2 linked regions of the Anolis sagrei genome follow. The protein of the gene in region 2 interacts with the protein of the main gene of each other region in a pairwise test. Links are inferred from orthologs where the notes say so. Each region holds a gene or a part of one and is shown on either strand. Other genes may lie near its edges.

Region 1 (7,418 bases), about 35 Mb from region 2:
GGATCCTTGCATTCTTCTGCATCTTATCAATAGTCTTTGTTGTAGCTAATCAATTCTTCGTTTCCTTCCTTCCTTCCTTTCCCTCTCATTCACTCCCCTTCAACCAATCCCTATCTTCTTCAGGTTCAGCAGTTCAAGCAACTCTATGAGAAGTGAATCCAATGCTGAAGAGGCAAATCACTGAAAGAGCTTGGATTAATTTCCTTTGTATAGTGTTATTGTCGAATTGCAAGAGAAAAAAAAAAGAGACCAAGGTTAAAACACCCCTGCCTTCAAAAGAGGATTTCCATTATAAAGCATTTGTTCTAAAACAAACACTTTAGGGTCACCTAATATTCTTATTATATTAATTTATTCCCATACTATATTCTGATCTCAGCTGAACTCTGTATAGTTTATGTCTCATCAATTGTAACCACCACCACCCAAAAAAACATGGGGGTGGGAGTATTGTCGGGTAAGTGGAAACAATGTATGCAAAATAAAAAAAATGTGATTATATGAAGTCTATTGTGGTTTAAGAAGTCATAAGAGTATTTGCAAAGAGGAAAGGCAATCCTCATGCACTTCAGGCTAAAGAAAAAGTCACCAAAACATAAGAAAAAAAAAATATCAAGATCAGAACGGTTCAATAACTTTTGTAACACACTTTTCCACTGGAAGTATATGAATATGAATATTTAAATATGGTTTAATATCTTGAGTGTACTAAAGTAATCATTCAACTCCTCAAGCTATGTTTAATCTTTTGACATTAGACACAACAATTCATTTAAGCAATACTATGCAAATATAAATAAGACCAGGGTAAGTTATCACTCGGTATGAAGATATAGGATAATAATGTCTCCATTTTTTTCTAATAATTGTTAACATTTCATCTTCCAGAAATTATATGAGACTACTTTGCACACTGCACATACCTTATTAGTAAGAATGAACAACAATTATGTTCTCTTTTAATTACCTTTTATCCTGCTTCATAAAATAATGTAGAGGAAAATAATTTGAACCTAATATTTTAAGACCTATACTGTTATTATGGTGGTGATTATTATCTAGTAGTGAGTATTAGCCTAAGTGGCTTTTTAAAAACTGTATTTCTTGCACACTTGCAGTTTGTAGTAGCTCATACTGCCCTCACCCCATTAAGATTCTCAAAAGAGCTTCATAAAATTATACCTTTAATAAACACAAAAATATTGTGCAGGCTTTTGAGTTCTGCAAGACTCTTCATCAGTTAAGATTAATCAGTGAACAAATGAAACAAGAGATAAAGTTTATGCTAAGCCTTGAATCTTGCACTCCTTCACATCGATGTCCCATCCAAGGTAGAAGACAATACAGAAAGAGAAAGACCATATTGTAATGGGTGGACTCAATCAAGGAAGCCGCAGCCCAGAATCTCCAAGACCTGAGCAGGGCTACTAAGGACAGGGAAGCTTGGAGATCTCTCATTCATATAGTCATCATAAGTCAAACTCAATCTGACCGTAGTCAACAAAAACAAATATTTGACTTTAATATCCAGTTTTGCTTTATGGGCCATCTTACCTAATTAAATATTTTCCGATCATTTGCATTATGTCAGTTATTATTATGTGCCTTCAAGTTATTTCCAACAAAGGATGCTCCTAAAGTGAACTTATAATAGGTTTTCTTGCCAATATTTGCGGGTTTGACATAGGGGTTTGACATTGCCTTCCTCAGAGGTGACTTGCCCAATGGCATTATTGGATTTCCATGGTCAAATGAATATCCAAGACCCTTCTCTCTGGGAATCTTAGTACAACGTTCAAACCATTTGACATTCCTCTTTGAGCCAATACAGCTATCTTGTTTTTTATGTCACTAAACATGTTTTTTTATATAAATAACTGATGTATTTCTGTATATGGAATAAGGAGAAAACATAAACGTGAGAGGTGAGACCAACAGAGAAATCCACAGAATTCCTTAACATTACACAAACACAAAGAAGGGACTCAGGGTGGCTAAGTCCTCATGTCAACAGTGGTTGAGGTGGCAAGTTCAAGACCTCCAGATATTTCTGGACTATAGTCCCCATCAAATCTATGGTGATAGATTATACGATTTGGAATTCTCCTGTCTGAAAGATCAAAAATTATATGCTGATGAATTAGAGGAACCACCAATATGAAGAAAACCAACTAATGAATGTTTGGCCTCACCTCCTGGTTCATGAGGTCACAAAGAGTCAGAAGTGACTGAACAAATAAACAAACAAGCCATAGAAGCTATACCTTCCCATGCAGTATGGCTAATATTATTCTTCCTAACCTCAGGTTGATAAAAACTTGTATTAAAGATACAAAATGAAGAGATTGTATGCAAAATTCTCTCTGGTTTTCCAGTACAGAAGGCAGGAAAATAATCATGACCTAGCATGCAAAACCATCAGCAGATATTGGACAGGTACAGAAAGCATGGGTATCTAACTACCTGTAGATTATTTATTATCCATGCACAAATATTATTCATGAATTGCAAAGAGGCAGGAAAAGGAGTTGAATAAATCATTTGCAGGCATAAAAATCATGAAGATTCAGAAGCTCTTAATTTTCTTTGCAACTCAGACAAAATGTGTATTTGTGAGTAACCTCTTCATTGAACCACAACAAAGCTCCTTTAAAACGAATCCAAAGACATCAGTGATTAATCATTAGATGAACCCAAATATCCACAGCATAGAATTGTGGTTATACATTAGGTCTCTCCATCTGCTGGAGTTTGATTCCAGGACCTAACCATAAGGCTATCATTTTTGTACCATTCTGCTGACACCTGCTATTGCTTCTGCTGACAGAACTACACAGCATTCAGCAGCAGCCAGCTTGGCACATGCACACTGGGAATGTAGCTCACATGGCAATCTTTAACGGCCGCATGAGCTAGGCCACTAACTCTCCATTATGAGGAAATAAACAACCCAGCATCAGCATTACAAAATCCATATTCCATCTAGTTCCAACCTGAAACATCCAAGATCAGGAATTCTGGGTTGAAATGGTGGACTGAAGCCAGTTCCTGTGAGCAATTCACTGCAGATGGAATGCTTTACATGGTAAATCATGGCCAGATTAAGTTTGGTCCTGCAAAAACCCTTCTGCAAAAGCCATATTCCCACCAGTTGCAATTTGAAATATATAAAGAGATGCAACCTCTGAGGATGCCTGCCATAGATGCAGGTGAAACGTCAGGAGAGAATGCTTTTAGAACAGTGGTTCTCAGCCTGTGGGTCCCCAGGTTTTTGGCCTACAACTCCCAGAAATCCCAGCCAGTTTACCAGCTGTTAGGATTTCTGGGAGTTGAAGGCCAAAACATCTGGGGACCTATAGGTTGAGAACCACTGTTCTAGAACATGGTCATACAGCCTGAAAAACCTACAACAACCCAGTGATTCCGGCCATGAAAGCCTTCAACAATACAGATGTAATACTATTTACATAGCAATAAGCCATACTCCTTCTAGTTACAAATCACTGTGTCTTGAATGTCTTGTTTCTTGAATTTCGTGGGAATTCCTTCAGGGTGGACAGATATAGGCATGCTGCAAATCTCCTTATGAAATCTATTGTTAAGCATCCCTAATCAAACATGAACATGAAAATAAGTAAGGACACATCAGCTAGGAACTAATTCCACTGTCATCTCAAATGCACTAACACTTTCCATCATCTGCCAGCCACAAATGCAGGCAAACCGTCAGGAGGAGAAAATGCTGCTAGAACATGACCATACAGTCCAAAAACCACACAACACCCATTTCCCATTCTGTTCCTATCCGGAAAACAAAACAAAATGATCCAGTTTACTCAATAGAAAAATCCAGCTGTTGGTAACAGACATATCCTTTTATTTCAGTGGTTCCCAGAGAAAGGATAACAGCTTTGTTAAAATGTCCAAAGAGAATTAGAGGTCAATTTAGATTTGCCTTCTTGAATACAGAACCAATTAGTCCCTCACCACTACCCATTGTACAGTAATATGTTTCACTTTTTTGCATCCATTGATTAAAAACCATGATGCCCAATTAAAGCAGTTTAAGGAATGAAAGCAACAGCCATAAGACTTTCCTCTATTTCATGATCAGTCCCTGGCTACATCATTGTGATGTCACATATCACCTGAGTGGCAGGGTTGAAAACTGGTACAGGGCACTACATGACACCTACATGGGAAGGTAAGCTCTCTTTTCATCCTTAGCTGCTCACTAGCAGCTTTGAAAAGTGATCTTTTTCCTGTAATGAAGTAGGCTCTGTCTTAAAGTGAGTTATTGTTACATTTTCAGGCAGAACTTTAATGCCCAACTGAAGCAAAAACAGGAACTGGCCTCTTTAACCACTGAACAGTCAGCATATGAATCCTTCCTATAGCCGTTAAAGATGGAACTGCGCCCACGCATGTCCTATCACAGAAATGAGCAAGAAGAATCAGCAGTAGTAACAAAAGCTTTGGAATCTACTAATCATCTGACTCCATTCCATATCCCTCCTGGTCCCCTTATATCACAAGAAACGTAAGTAGTTACTTCTAATTCATCATTTTTTTGTAAAAATATATTCATTATGGTTGCAACTATTTGTTTCGCAATCCGTTATATTCAATCGTCCATCGTTTGAAAATATTTATTAAAAGTGTCCATGGAGAATACTGGAACCCACTATATTATCATTTCAGTAAGAATGTATTGTCAAAGGCCAGAATCACTGGGTTGTTATAAGTTTTTCGGACTGTATGGCCATGTTCCAGAAGCATTCTCTCCTGACATTTCCATAAGACTCCTCATGAAACTCTTGCAGGTAATGATTAACAATAAAGGCCAGATAGTGCTATTGTTAGGTGGATTTTTAGCAGCATTGTGGGCTAAAGAGTGGTTCCTCCCCTTCTCAGAGAGAAATTGGATTGGTCTGTAAGGTTCTGTTTTGGGGCTGATGCATACTTACACCAATGCTGGGGAGATATATGAATGGATGTGTGCTCTGACTTCTGATTTAATCTTTTCAGTCCACAAATATTGCTTTCTTCTGCTCCTTGGCTTCATATTATTTTATTAAATTATGAAAAAAAATGTCATGGCATTGTGGAGGATCATATTTCTGTACTTGTCCCGTCACCATTGTTTGCAAAGTATATTTTTTGCTCTAGGACAAAGAAGTTACACCTCAATCCTATTAACCTGGGGACAGAAGTCATGCATGATTTATTAGCATTTGCTTCAGTTTCAGCCTACTCACTGCCATCATTCAATAATGATGCATCTTTTGAATGCCAAGAACACAGGAACAGCCTTGCCAGATCAAGCCAAGGTCCATCTGAGCCAGCATTCTGATACCAAAAACATTCAAATAGCTTTTAGTGTTATGCAATGCTAAAAGGAACTTGGCACATGTATAAAAGATCATTATCTTTAGGGCAGAGGAATAATATTGGTAAGTTTCCTAATTTTAGATTGAAGTATAGGTTGTACTGGTTTGCTATGAAGTTAATGATATTAGAAGTGATAAGAACTAGTGACATGCAAGTCTTTAGTAACAAAACAAGCTCAACTGGATTGGACAAGGAGACAATGATACTTTTCATATTGGGAATTAATTTCATCAGGTTCATCTTGGGGATGACCAAGGAATCAGGTATGAAACCAGAAGAGGATATTGCCAGTAGTTTTTTAAAACAAGCTTTTTTGCTTTCTCTTTGTTTCTCTCTTTACCCCTTCTTCTGGGGCCAGTTACTTTTGTCAAAAGATTTTTTGAAATCAGGTTGCCGACAGCTGATCTCAGATGTCATGTGCAGAATGTTTGATTTGATTTCAGGTATGAACAATTAAAGGAAACATTTCAGCTTTGCAATGCTGCAATGAAAGGAGGTCAGAGATTGGCAAGGTGTAACGTCGCATTCCCAGAATCTCACAGGAAATATGAGCCACCTTACAAGTTCAGTCATGAGCACCACTACAATAGCAATGCCCAAGATGGCTTGCTAAGGTGAGTTTCCCCTATTCATCACACCTTTTGGTATACCTTTTAGATAACTATATATTGTTTGAATTTAGAAGCGAGTTGAGAAATGCTGGTGTCTTGTGGCAATTTTTCAAAAACGATCAGATTACAGTCTTTGTTTTGTTACATATGTTCTTGTTGTGTGCCTTCAAATTAACTCACTTGTACGTTTTTCTTGGCAATTTGTTATTGTTTACCTCTAAGGCAAAAATAATCAACTGGGAGGTTTCTATACACAAACATATTGCTCTGTTGCCTTTAATTCTCTCCCATAAATGCACAATTTTAAATTTACCACATAGTTTTCTTAAAAATTCTTCGCTACCTGCTCATTCTGAGACCATTCCTGGGGTGGCTTTGAGGAGGGGATGGTGGCTCACTTCAAATGATTGCATAGCCCACCTCAAATGTTATTTTCTCACAACATTTTGCTTTCTCATTTACTTTCCACTTCAGCCACATGCTCAAATGATCCAAATGATAATTTTGCCCAGTTCTGGATTTCATTATGTTCCAAGGGATGCTTGTAGAACATATCAATGGACTCATACATGTTTCTGCATGATGATGATGGTGATGGTGATAGTGATTATTCATATATGTGTACCACCCTATCTCCCCAAAGGGACTCAGGACAGTTTCCAACATATAACACAAACATTCAATTGCCAAAAAGAAAACTATACAGACAAATTATATCAAGACAAGCACATTGGACAATATAAAACAATCTAATTTAACTTAATAAACATAATAACAAGAAATAAAATACAAAAATCCTGCTAAAAGACACTAAAAATAAAAAATTAAACCAATTGCATTGGGATCATGTCACCTTGACAGCTGTATCTCTTGGGTAGACTGCTGCTAATAATCCATTAATGATCTATATTTACACAAAGCTGTCTAAAGTGGAATTTTAGTAAACATCTGCAAGAATTAAAATATATCTAATAATTGCACTGGTGAATAGCAAACACAATGGCAGGGCTTCATAAATGGCAAAAGTACGTGCAAACACAACTAATGAGCTATTAGAGTACTGTTCCTTCAGCATGAGAAAATATTAACCCAGATAAGCAAAGGCACAAGTCTGAGAGAGTTTCCGGATAAGCACTCTAAAGTTCAAGTGTTGCTAACAAGAGAAAGGAAAAGAGGTCTGGGTTAAAAAGTAAAGGCAAAATAATAATTATACACTCCAGAAAAAGAGGATAAATACAGGGAGCTGCCAATTTGAAGGGAAAACACTCTCCCAAAGATGAGAAAATGTATCGTTTCTTGACCTGATTGGACCTTCCTTGGAGAAACTGCAGGTCATGGATCTGTTGGTTGGAACATGGCAAAGAAGTACAAGCCAGCAAAGGGTCCTCTAAATCAGCGTCAGGGTTTGAAAGAAGA
Region 2 (7,989 bases):
GAGGCCGAAGAGACAACGCGGAGATGGAAGAGGCGGCATCCCAAGCCAGTCTGAATCCAGGTGGTCATACTGCAAAGAAGTAGAAGGCAACCATGGAGATAACAGGTGAACCATCTTGAGATATCACTTAGGACCCTTTGACACAGCCATATAACCCAGAATATCAAGAATATCCACAATATCTGCTTTGATCTGGATTATCTGTGTCCGCATTGCCATATAATCCAATTCAAAGCAGATAATGTGGGATTTTATACAGTTGTGTGGAAGGGGCCATAGTGTTATTTAAAGACTCACATAACTAGTAAATGTTTTGCTGAGATATATAATGCAAGGAGATCAGATGAAGCAACTCCAAGAGTTGGTCATCAGAGTTCTACTTAAAAACCACTAATCAAGGGGAGTCCATTACCCGCTGGGATAGTCTATCCCATGCTCGCCAAAATACAGATCGGATAATCCTGGTTTTAAATGTTATGGGGTTCCTGGAAATATGGAACCCCATAACCCCAAGGGTGCTTTGAAAGTAATCTAATTCTCAATGTAGAGCACATCCATAGCATGTCAAGTGCATGGCTACCCAGACTCTGCTTCAATACCTCCAGCAAAAGAGTGGAAATCATCAATCACTTTTCAAATGACTACTTGGTCAGATTAAGCCACAGCCCACTAGCATTTATGACTGGTCGGACCCATTTGATTTTTATGTCTCTTGAAACCAGAGTATCTCTCTAAACACCAAATGCTGGGATCACATCAGTTTCTATTGTCACCTGTCACTCATTGTAATCAGGATGCTGAGCGGGACAATCCTTTTCTCCAATCTGGGAAGGGATTTGTCCCCCTTTTCACACGTAAATCACAGTATCAAACTGGTCCCAGTTTGGGAGGCACAGCCCTGATTGATCCTGTCATCCCATTTTCTCATCTGTTTTTCCAAAATGTCCCAGTGGATCTTTCCTCCTCCCAATTTCTCCTTGCTTTTATCCACTCCAGCAAACTGAGGCCCCTTCCAAACAGATGTATCAAATCCACATTGAACTGGATTATATGCTAGTGTGGACTCAGATAACTCAGTTCAATGCAGATATTGTGGATTATACATATGGCTGTGTGGGAGGGACCTGAATTCAAAGTATGGATGTAGTTTTCAGATGAGAAGGAGAAGAAGGCACCATCTTGCCCTTCCCAGTAGGCTTTGGCAAAAGCAAACTATTGATGCATTCTTCTTCATTATAAAGTTTTCCCAACTTGACTGCATTCTTATATTTCTTGGTTCCCTTCCACACAGCCCTATATCCCAGAATATCAAGGCAGAAAATCCCACAATATCTGCTTTGAACTGGGTTGTCTGAGTCCACACTCAGATAATGTGGGATTTCCTACCTTGATATTCTGGGATATAGGGTTGTGTGGAAAGGCCCTAAGTTGTATGCATTTTGGTTTTCATTTGTGAAATGTTGGAAATTTTGCAGTATATAGATATTTGTCAGAGTAATCTCCGCCCTCCCAATATGATACGTGAAAGAGGGAGTCAAACTAAAGCTATGCCATAAAGATTAAAATCACTTGGGGTTGACTCCCCATTCCAACAAGAGACGAATACAGCTCTTGGTTCAAAAGCAGAAATATGTGCATTGGGAGGAGTTATCCATTACCTGCAAGAAATAGGAGTTCATTGGATCTTCTTTATTGTCCTCATTGTAGTAAAGTCCCCCTGCTATGAAGACCTGGTTCTCGCGGGTGACCAGGCTGACGTGGTTCTTTGGGATCTGGGCAGAAAGTGAGGCGTAAAAGCACTCATTGGCTGACGGGTCATAGGCCACCGCCCCCGAGTCACTGACCATGAAAATGAGATCTTGAAGAAACATCCCAAACCTCATGGTGTCATTCAAGATCCCTGGGAGACCTTCCTCTGCTTCCTCCTCCTCCTTCTCAACACCGTCTTCCTCTACTCCTCCATTGATGACATTGTCCCCAGCCTTCTTCTCCCCTTTTTTCTTCACTCTTTTCACCACTGCAAATTTCCCTTCATGGGCGTCCTTCACCATCTGCAACTTCTTGAGAAGTTCTGGGCTGGACTTGACCAGAGGGTGCTTCTCCACATGATCCTTGAAGTAATCCTTCTCAATGAGGCGAAAACGGATGCTGTCAAAGACCACTGGCAGGGCCTTTGCTCGGCTCTCCCGGTCTTTGGTTGTGGCCCATTTCATCACCACCTCAAAGACGGACTCTTCCTTCTCGATATTCAGGGAATCACTGGAGATGATGGCAATGAGTTCATCGGGGGAGAGCTGGAAGAATTCCTCATCCCGGGAGATCAAGGCAAAGCGGTCACAGATGAAATCCCGGGCAGCGACTGCCAAGCGGGCACAGTCCAACATCAAACCCAGCCTGAAAATGGCCAAGCAGTTGCTGAGGCAAAGCCGCTTCTGAAGGAAAGAGACACAGACGGTGAAAATGGAAGGGATCTGGAACATGTTGGCCACGGAGAAGATATCCTGAACGTTCTGCTCGGTGAGCTCCAGTTCTGAGGTGTAGATGTAATGGAGGATCTTGCCCATGACGTCTGGATCCACATCTTCTAAGCTGATCTCCCTTTTCTTGCTCTCTTCCATATCCGAGAGGAACATGGCCCTGAAGTAAGGACTGCAAGCTGCCAGGACCAAGCGGTGACATGGAAACTCCTTCCCTTTCACCTTCAGGACACAATCCAAGAACTTGTTGTGGTCCAGCAAGTCCTTGAGACCATCTTGAAGAAGCGTTTGCTGGTAGAGACGTAACTCTTCCGCTTGTTCTAAGGAGACGGCCATGGTTGAAAACTTGTCTGGTCTTCTTCGTTGACCCGGTCTTCCAGCTCTTGTGAACCTGGGAGAGCTCTTTCTTGATTCCTGATGGAGCGCTGACCAAGAATATGAGCCTGGCTGCTTGTCCAGCTGGCTGTGTGGCTCAGTTTCCACAGCGCGAGGGGTTTTTATATATATAGCCACGGCGTTACAAAGCTTAGGGAATCCATTCGGGAGCATGTGTAAGCCGATCACCTTTTAATATGACAAACTGGCCCACCAGGGAGGGATGGCTCTTGCGGAAGGGGAGGGGGACGACACAAGGAGCAACAGCTGTAAGTGTAATTCTAGATCTATGACAGACGCTGTCACGATGATTCACTCAGGAGAGGTATATTTCTTTTTCCTGAAGGTCTTTCGCCCCCAGCCCAAGACTTGTGAGCAGCCCCTCTAGGAACAAGTTACGCCTTGGAGTAAATCACAGCAATGAAGGCTCTAAAATCAGTTATGGGATCTGTGTTTGGGTTCATATCCTTCTATCCCTCTCTTCAGCACATGCACACACATTGGAGCGTACCCACAGATGCCACATCCCTGCTCTCGCCTTCTAAATCCAGCGCAAGGCTTAATGTGCTAAAAATATACTGCAAAGTCAGAGTTGAATAAACAGGGAAGAAATGCCTCTGATTATTTGTTGTGGCATGAGGACATCTCTCTCTCTTCCAAGTCGCGGAGGCTATTGATCATAAATTTGATTCATTGCTATATATATATATATATATATATATATATATATATATATATAATCATAGAATCAAAGAGTTGAAAGAGACCTCATGGGCCATCCAGTCCAACCCCCTGCCAAGAAGCAGGAATATTGCATTCAAATCAGCCCTGACAGATGGCCATCCAGCCTCTGTTTAAAAGCTTCCAAAGAAGGAACCCCCACCACACTCTGGCGCAGAGAGTTCCACTGCTGAACGGCTCTCACAGTCAGGAAGTTCTTCCTCATGTTCAGATGGAATCTCCTTTCTTGTAGTTTAAACCATTGTTTCGTGTCCTAGTCTCCAGGGAAGCAGAGAACAAGCTTGCTCCCTCCTCCCTGCGGCTTCCTCTCACATATTTATACATGGCTATCATATCTCCTCTCAGCCTTCTCTTCTTCAGGGTAAACATGCCCAGCTCCTTAAGCCTCTCCTCATAGGGCTTGTTCTCCAGACCCGTGATCATTTGAGTCGCCCTCCTCTGGACACATTCCAGCTTGTCAATATCTCTCTTGAATTGTGGTACCCAGAATTGGACACAATATTCCAGGTGTGGTCTAACCAAAGTGGAATAGAGGGGTAGCATGACTTCCCTGGATCTAGATACTATGCTCCTATTGATGCAGGCCAAAATCCCATTGGCTTTTTTTGCCGCCACATCACATTCCTGGCTCATGTTTAACTTGTTGTCCACGAGGACTCCAAGGTCTTTTTCACACGTACTGCTCTCAAGCCAGGCATCGTCCCCCATTCTGTCTCTTTGCTTTTCGTTTTTCCTGCCAAAGTGGAGTATCTTGCATTTGTCACTGCTGAACTTCATTTGTTAGTTTTGGCCCATCTCTCTAATCTGTCAAGATCGTTTTGAATCCTGCTCCTGTCCTCAGGAGTAAAGATGTTGAACAGGACCAGGACCAGGACGGAACCCTGCGGCATTCCGCTCGTCACTTCTTTCCAGGATGAAGAGGAAGCATTGGAGAGAATCACCCTCTGGGTTCGTCCATTTAACCAATTCCAGATCCACCTCACCATAGTTTTGCCTAGCCCACATTGGACTAGTTTGTTTGCCAGAAGGTCATGGGGGACCTTGTCGAAGGCCTTCCTGAAATCCAGGTACGCTACATATATATATATGGTTCTGTGCACATGGCTGTTCCAAGTATCTGGATGTTTCAGAGGAGAGGTTATATCCGATGCCACCTCAGGTACAGCAGAGTAAAGATGCCATGTAAAATAAACTTTTTACAGTCAAACCTTCACTTTGGACCTAGAGATTCATAGAGAGGAGTTCTTAAAGAGCTGGGCATGTTTAGCCCGCAGAAGAGAAGGCTGAGAGGAGACATGATAGCCATGTATCAATATGTGAGGGGAAGTCATAATAAGGAGGGTGCAAGCTTGTTTTCTGCTGCCCTGGATGCAATGGAGCAATGGCTTCAAACTACAGGAAAGGAGATTCCACCTGAACACGAGGAAGAACTTCCTGACTGTGAGAGCTGTTCAGCAGTGGAACTCTCTGTGCCGAAGTGTGGTGGAGGCTCCTTCTATGGAGGCTTTTAAACAGGGGCTGGATGGCCATCTGTTGGGGATGCTTTGAAAGTGATTGTCCTGCTTCTTGGTAGGGGGTTGGACTGGATGGCTCACGAGGTCTCTTCCAACCCTAGGATTCTATGATTCTCACTAGCACTGCCTGAACATCAAGCAAAAAGTGGGTGCTAGAAACAATATCATACGAAAGCTGACTGGCACAACTTGTGGATCACAACCAGACACAGTAAAGACATCTGCCCTTGCGCTATGCTCCTCTGCTGCTGAGTATGCATGCCCAGTGTGGAACACATCTCACCACGCTAAAACAGTGTATGTGGCTCTTAATGAGACATGCCGCATTATCACGGGGTTTCTGCGCCCTACACCACTGGAGAAACTACACTGCTTAGCCGGTATTGCACCACCTGACATCCACCGGGAAGTAGCAGCCAATAGTGAAAGGACCAAGGCAGAGACATCTCCAGCTCATCCCCTGTTTAGGTATCCGCCAGCACGTCAACGACTTAAATCTAGAAATAGTTTTCTAAGATCTACAGAGACACTCGCTGGAACGCTTCAGCAAGCGAGAGTCCAAAAGTGGCAGGTTCAAACCCAGAACCTGAACCAATGGCTGATACCAGATGAGAGACTCCCTCCTGGGCACACAGAAGACTGGGCGACTTGGAAGGGGCAGAACAGACTGCGCTCTGGCACCATGAGATGCAGAGCCAACCTCAAGAAATGGGGCCACAAAGTGGAATCCACATCATGCGAGTGTGGAGAAGAGCAAACCACTGACCACCTGCTGCAATGCAATCTGAGCCCTGCCACATGCACAATGGAGGACCTTCTTGTGGCAACACCAGAAGCACTCCAAGTGGCGAGATACTGGTCAATGGACATCTAATCAACTACCAAACTTGCAAATTTTGTGTTTTGTCTGTCTGTTTGTTTGTTTTGTTCTGTTAGAAATGTAATACAATTCACTGGTTGCCCTGACACGACAAATAAATACTAGCAATCTCTCGGTACTCCAGCACAACTCTTTAGTAAACATCCAACTGAAGTTGTAGGATGACCTAGAGTTTCTTAGAAAGCCTATATTAATTAAACCAGTGAATGATGAACTCTTCAATAGTTCAACACTTTAACTGCCATATCCCAATGCTATGGAATAGTGGGAGTTGTAGTTTTACTAGGTCTTTTGCCTTCTGTGATAAGGCACTTAGCCATGTTAGTTCAAGTGGGGTCAAACTGCATTAATTCTACTGTGTAGGTGCACTCTCTGTTTGTTGTTGTTGTTGTTGTTCATTCGTTCAGTCGTCTCCGACTCTTTGTGACCTCATGGACCAGCCCACGCCAGAGCTCCCTGTCGGCCGTCACCACCCCCAGCTCCTTCAAGGTCAGTCCAGTCACTTCAAGGATGCCATCCATCCATCTTGCCCTTGGTTGGCCCCTCTTCCTTTTGCCTTCCACTTTCCCCAGCATAATTGTCTTCTCTAGGCTTTGCTGTCTCCTCATGATGTGGCCAAAGTACTTCAACTTTGTCTCTAGTCTCCTTCCCTCCAATGAGCAGCTGGGCTTTATTTCCTGGAGGATGGACTGGTTGGATCTTCTCGCAGTCCAAGGCACTCTCAGCACTTTCCTCCAACATCACAGTTCAAAAGCATCTCTCTTCCTTCGCTCAGCCTTCCCTAAGGTCCAGCTCTCACATCCGTAGGTGACTACAGGGAATACCATGGCTTTGACTAGGCAATGGATCTTTGTTGTCAGTCTGATGTCTCTACTCTTCACTATTTTATCGAGACTGGACATTGCTCTCCTCCCAAGAAGGAAGCGTCTTCTGATTTCCTGGCCACAGTCTGCATCTGCAGTAATCTTTGCCCCTAGAAATACAAAGTCTGTCACGGCCTCCACGGTTTCTCCTTCTATTTCCCAGTTGTCAATCATTCTTGTTGCCATAATCTTGGTTTTTTTGACGTTTAGCTGCAACCCGGCTTTTGCGCTTTCTTCTTTCACCTTGATTAGAAGGCTCCTCAGCTCCTCCTCGCTTTCGGCCATCAGGGTGGTGTCATCTGCATATCTGAGGTTGTTAATGTTTCTTCCAGCAATTTTCACCCCAGCTTTGCATTCATCCAGCCCCGCACATCCTCGCATGATGTGTTCTGCATACAAGTTAAAAAGGTTGGGTGAGAGGATGCAGCCTTGCCGGACACCTTTCCCAATCTTGAACCAGTCTGTTCCTCCGTGGTCAGTTCTGACTGTGGCTCCTTGGTCCTTGTACAGATTCCTCAGGAGAGAGGGAAGGGGGCTTGAGGTGCCCATCCCACCAAGAACTTGCCACAATTTATTATGATCCACACAGTCAAAGGCTTTAGAATAGTCAATGAAGCAGAAGTAGATGTTTTTCTGAAACTCCCTGCCTTTCTCCATTATCCAGCGGATATTGGCAATCTGGCAATTGGGCACTCTCTGTAGTTGCCCAATAATTAATTACCTTCTCCAACCTCATCTGGATGCTTCAGACTACAGCACTTACCATCCACAGGCAGTCATTGTGGATGATGGGTATTGTAGTCCAACACATTGAAATGCCACATTGAGGAAGACTGATTTGGAATATTGCTATTGACAAATTAAACCTAAAGGAAGTCAACCTGGCTCAGATGATGGGTGCATCTACACTGTCGACTTAATGCATTTTGACCCAACATTGACTGCCATGGTTCAGTGCTATGGAATCCTGGGAGCTGTAGTTTAGTGAGGCACCCGCACCTTTGGGCAGAGAAGGCTAAAGAACAAAAACTCCCAGGATGGTTTGTAATCCACTACATTTGGCAACAAGGGGTTGTAATGCACCACTTTTGAAAGTTATCAGGTGCGTAGATTCTGACCGTAACACCTGGAATATTGTG

What was found.
Region 1: the proteins of KLHL40 (region 2) and SPMIP4 interact in a two-hybrid assay, tested with the Homo sapiens proteins (2 studies listed by BioGRID and IntAct). The two-hybrid records come from large-scale screens. The link is inferred for Anolis sagrei from reciprocal best matches to the Homo sapiens genes KLHL40 and SPMIP4.

Annotation. Positions count from the first base shown.
Region 1 is NC_090026.1:92,245,707-92,253,124, forward strand, and holds the start of SPMIP4 (sperm-associated microtubule inner protein 4), read left to right. Parts: upstream 1-4,406; coding exon 4,407-4,540; intron 4,541-5,834; coding exon 5,835-6,005; intron 6,006-7,418. Other genes in the region: NPVF (pro-FMRFamide-related neuropeptide VF), read left to right, coding at 124-184. UniProt on the Homo sapiens protein: Microtubule inner protein (MIP) part of the dynein-decorated doublet microtubules (DMTs) in flagellum axoneme. May serve to reinforce and thus stabilize the microtubule structure in the sperm flagella.
Region 2 is NC_090026.1:127,205,052-127,213,040, forward strand, and holds the start of KLHL40 (kelch-like protein 40), read right to left. Parts: upstream 3,040-7,989; 5' UTR 3,027-3,039; coding exon 1,659-3,026; intron 70-1,658; coding exon 1-69. UniProt on the Homo sapiens protein: Substrate-specific adapter of a BCR (BTB-CUL3-RBX1) E3 ubiquitin ligase complex that acts as a key regulator of skeletal muscle development.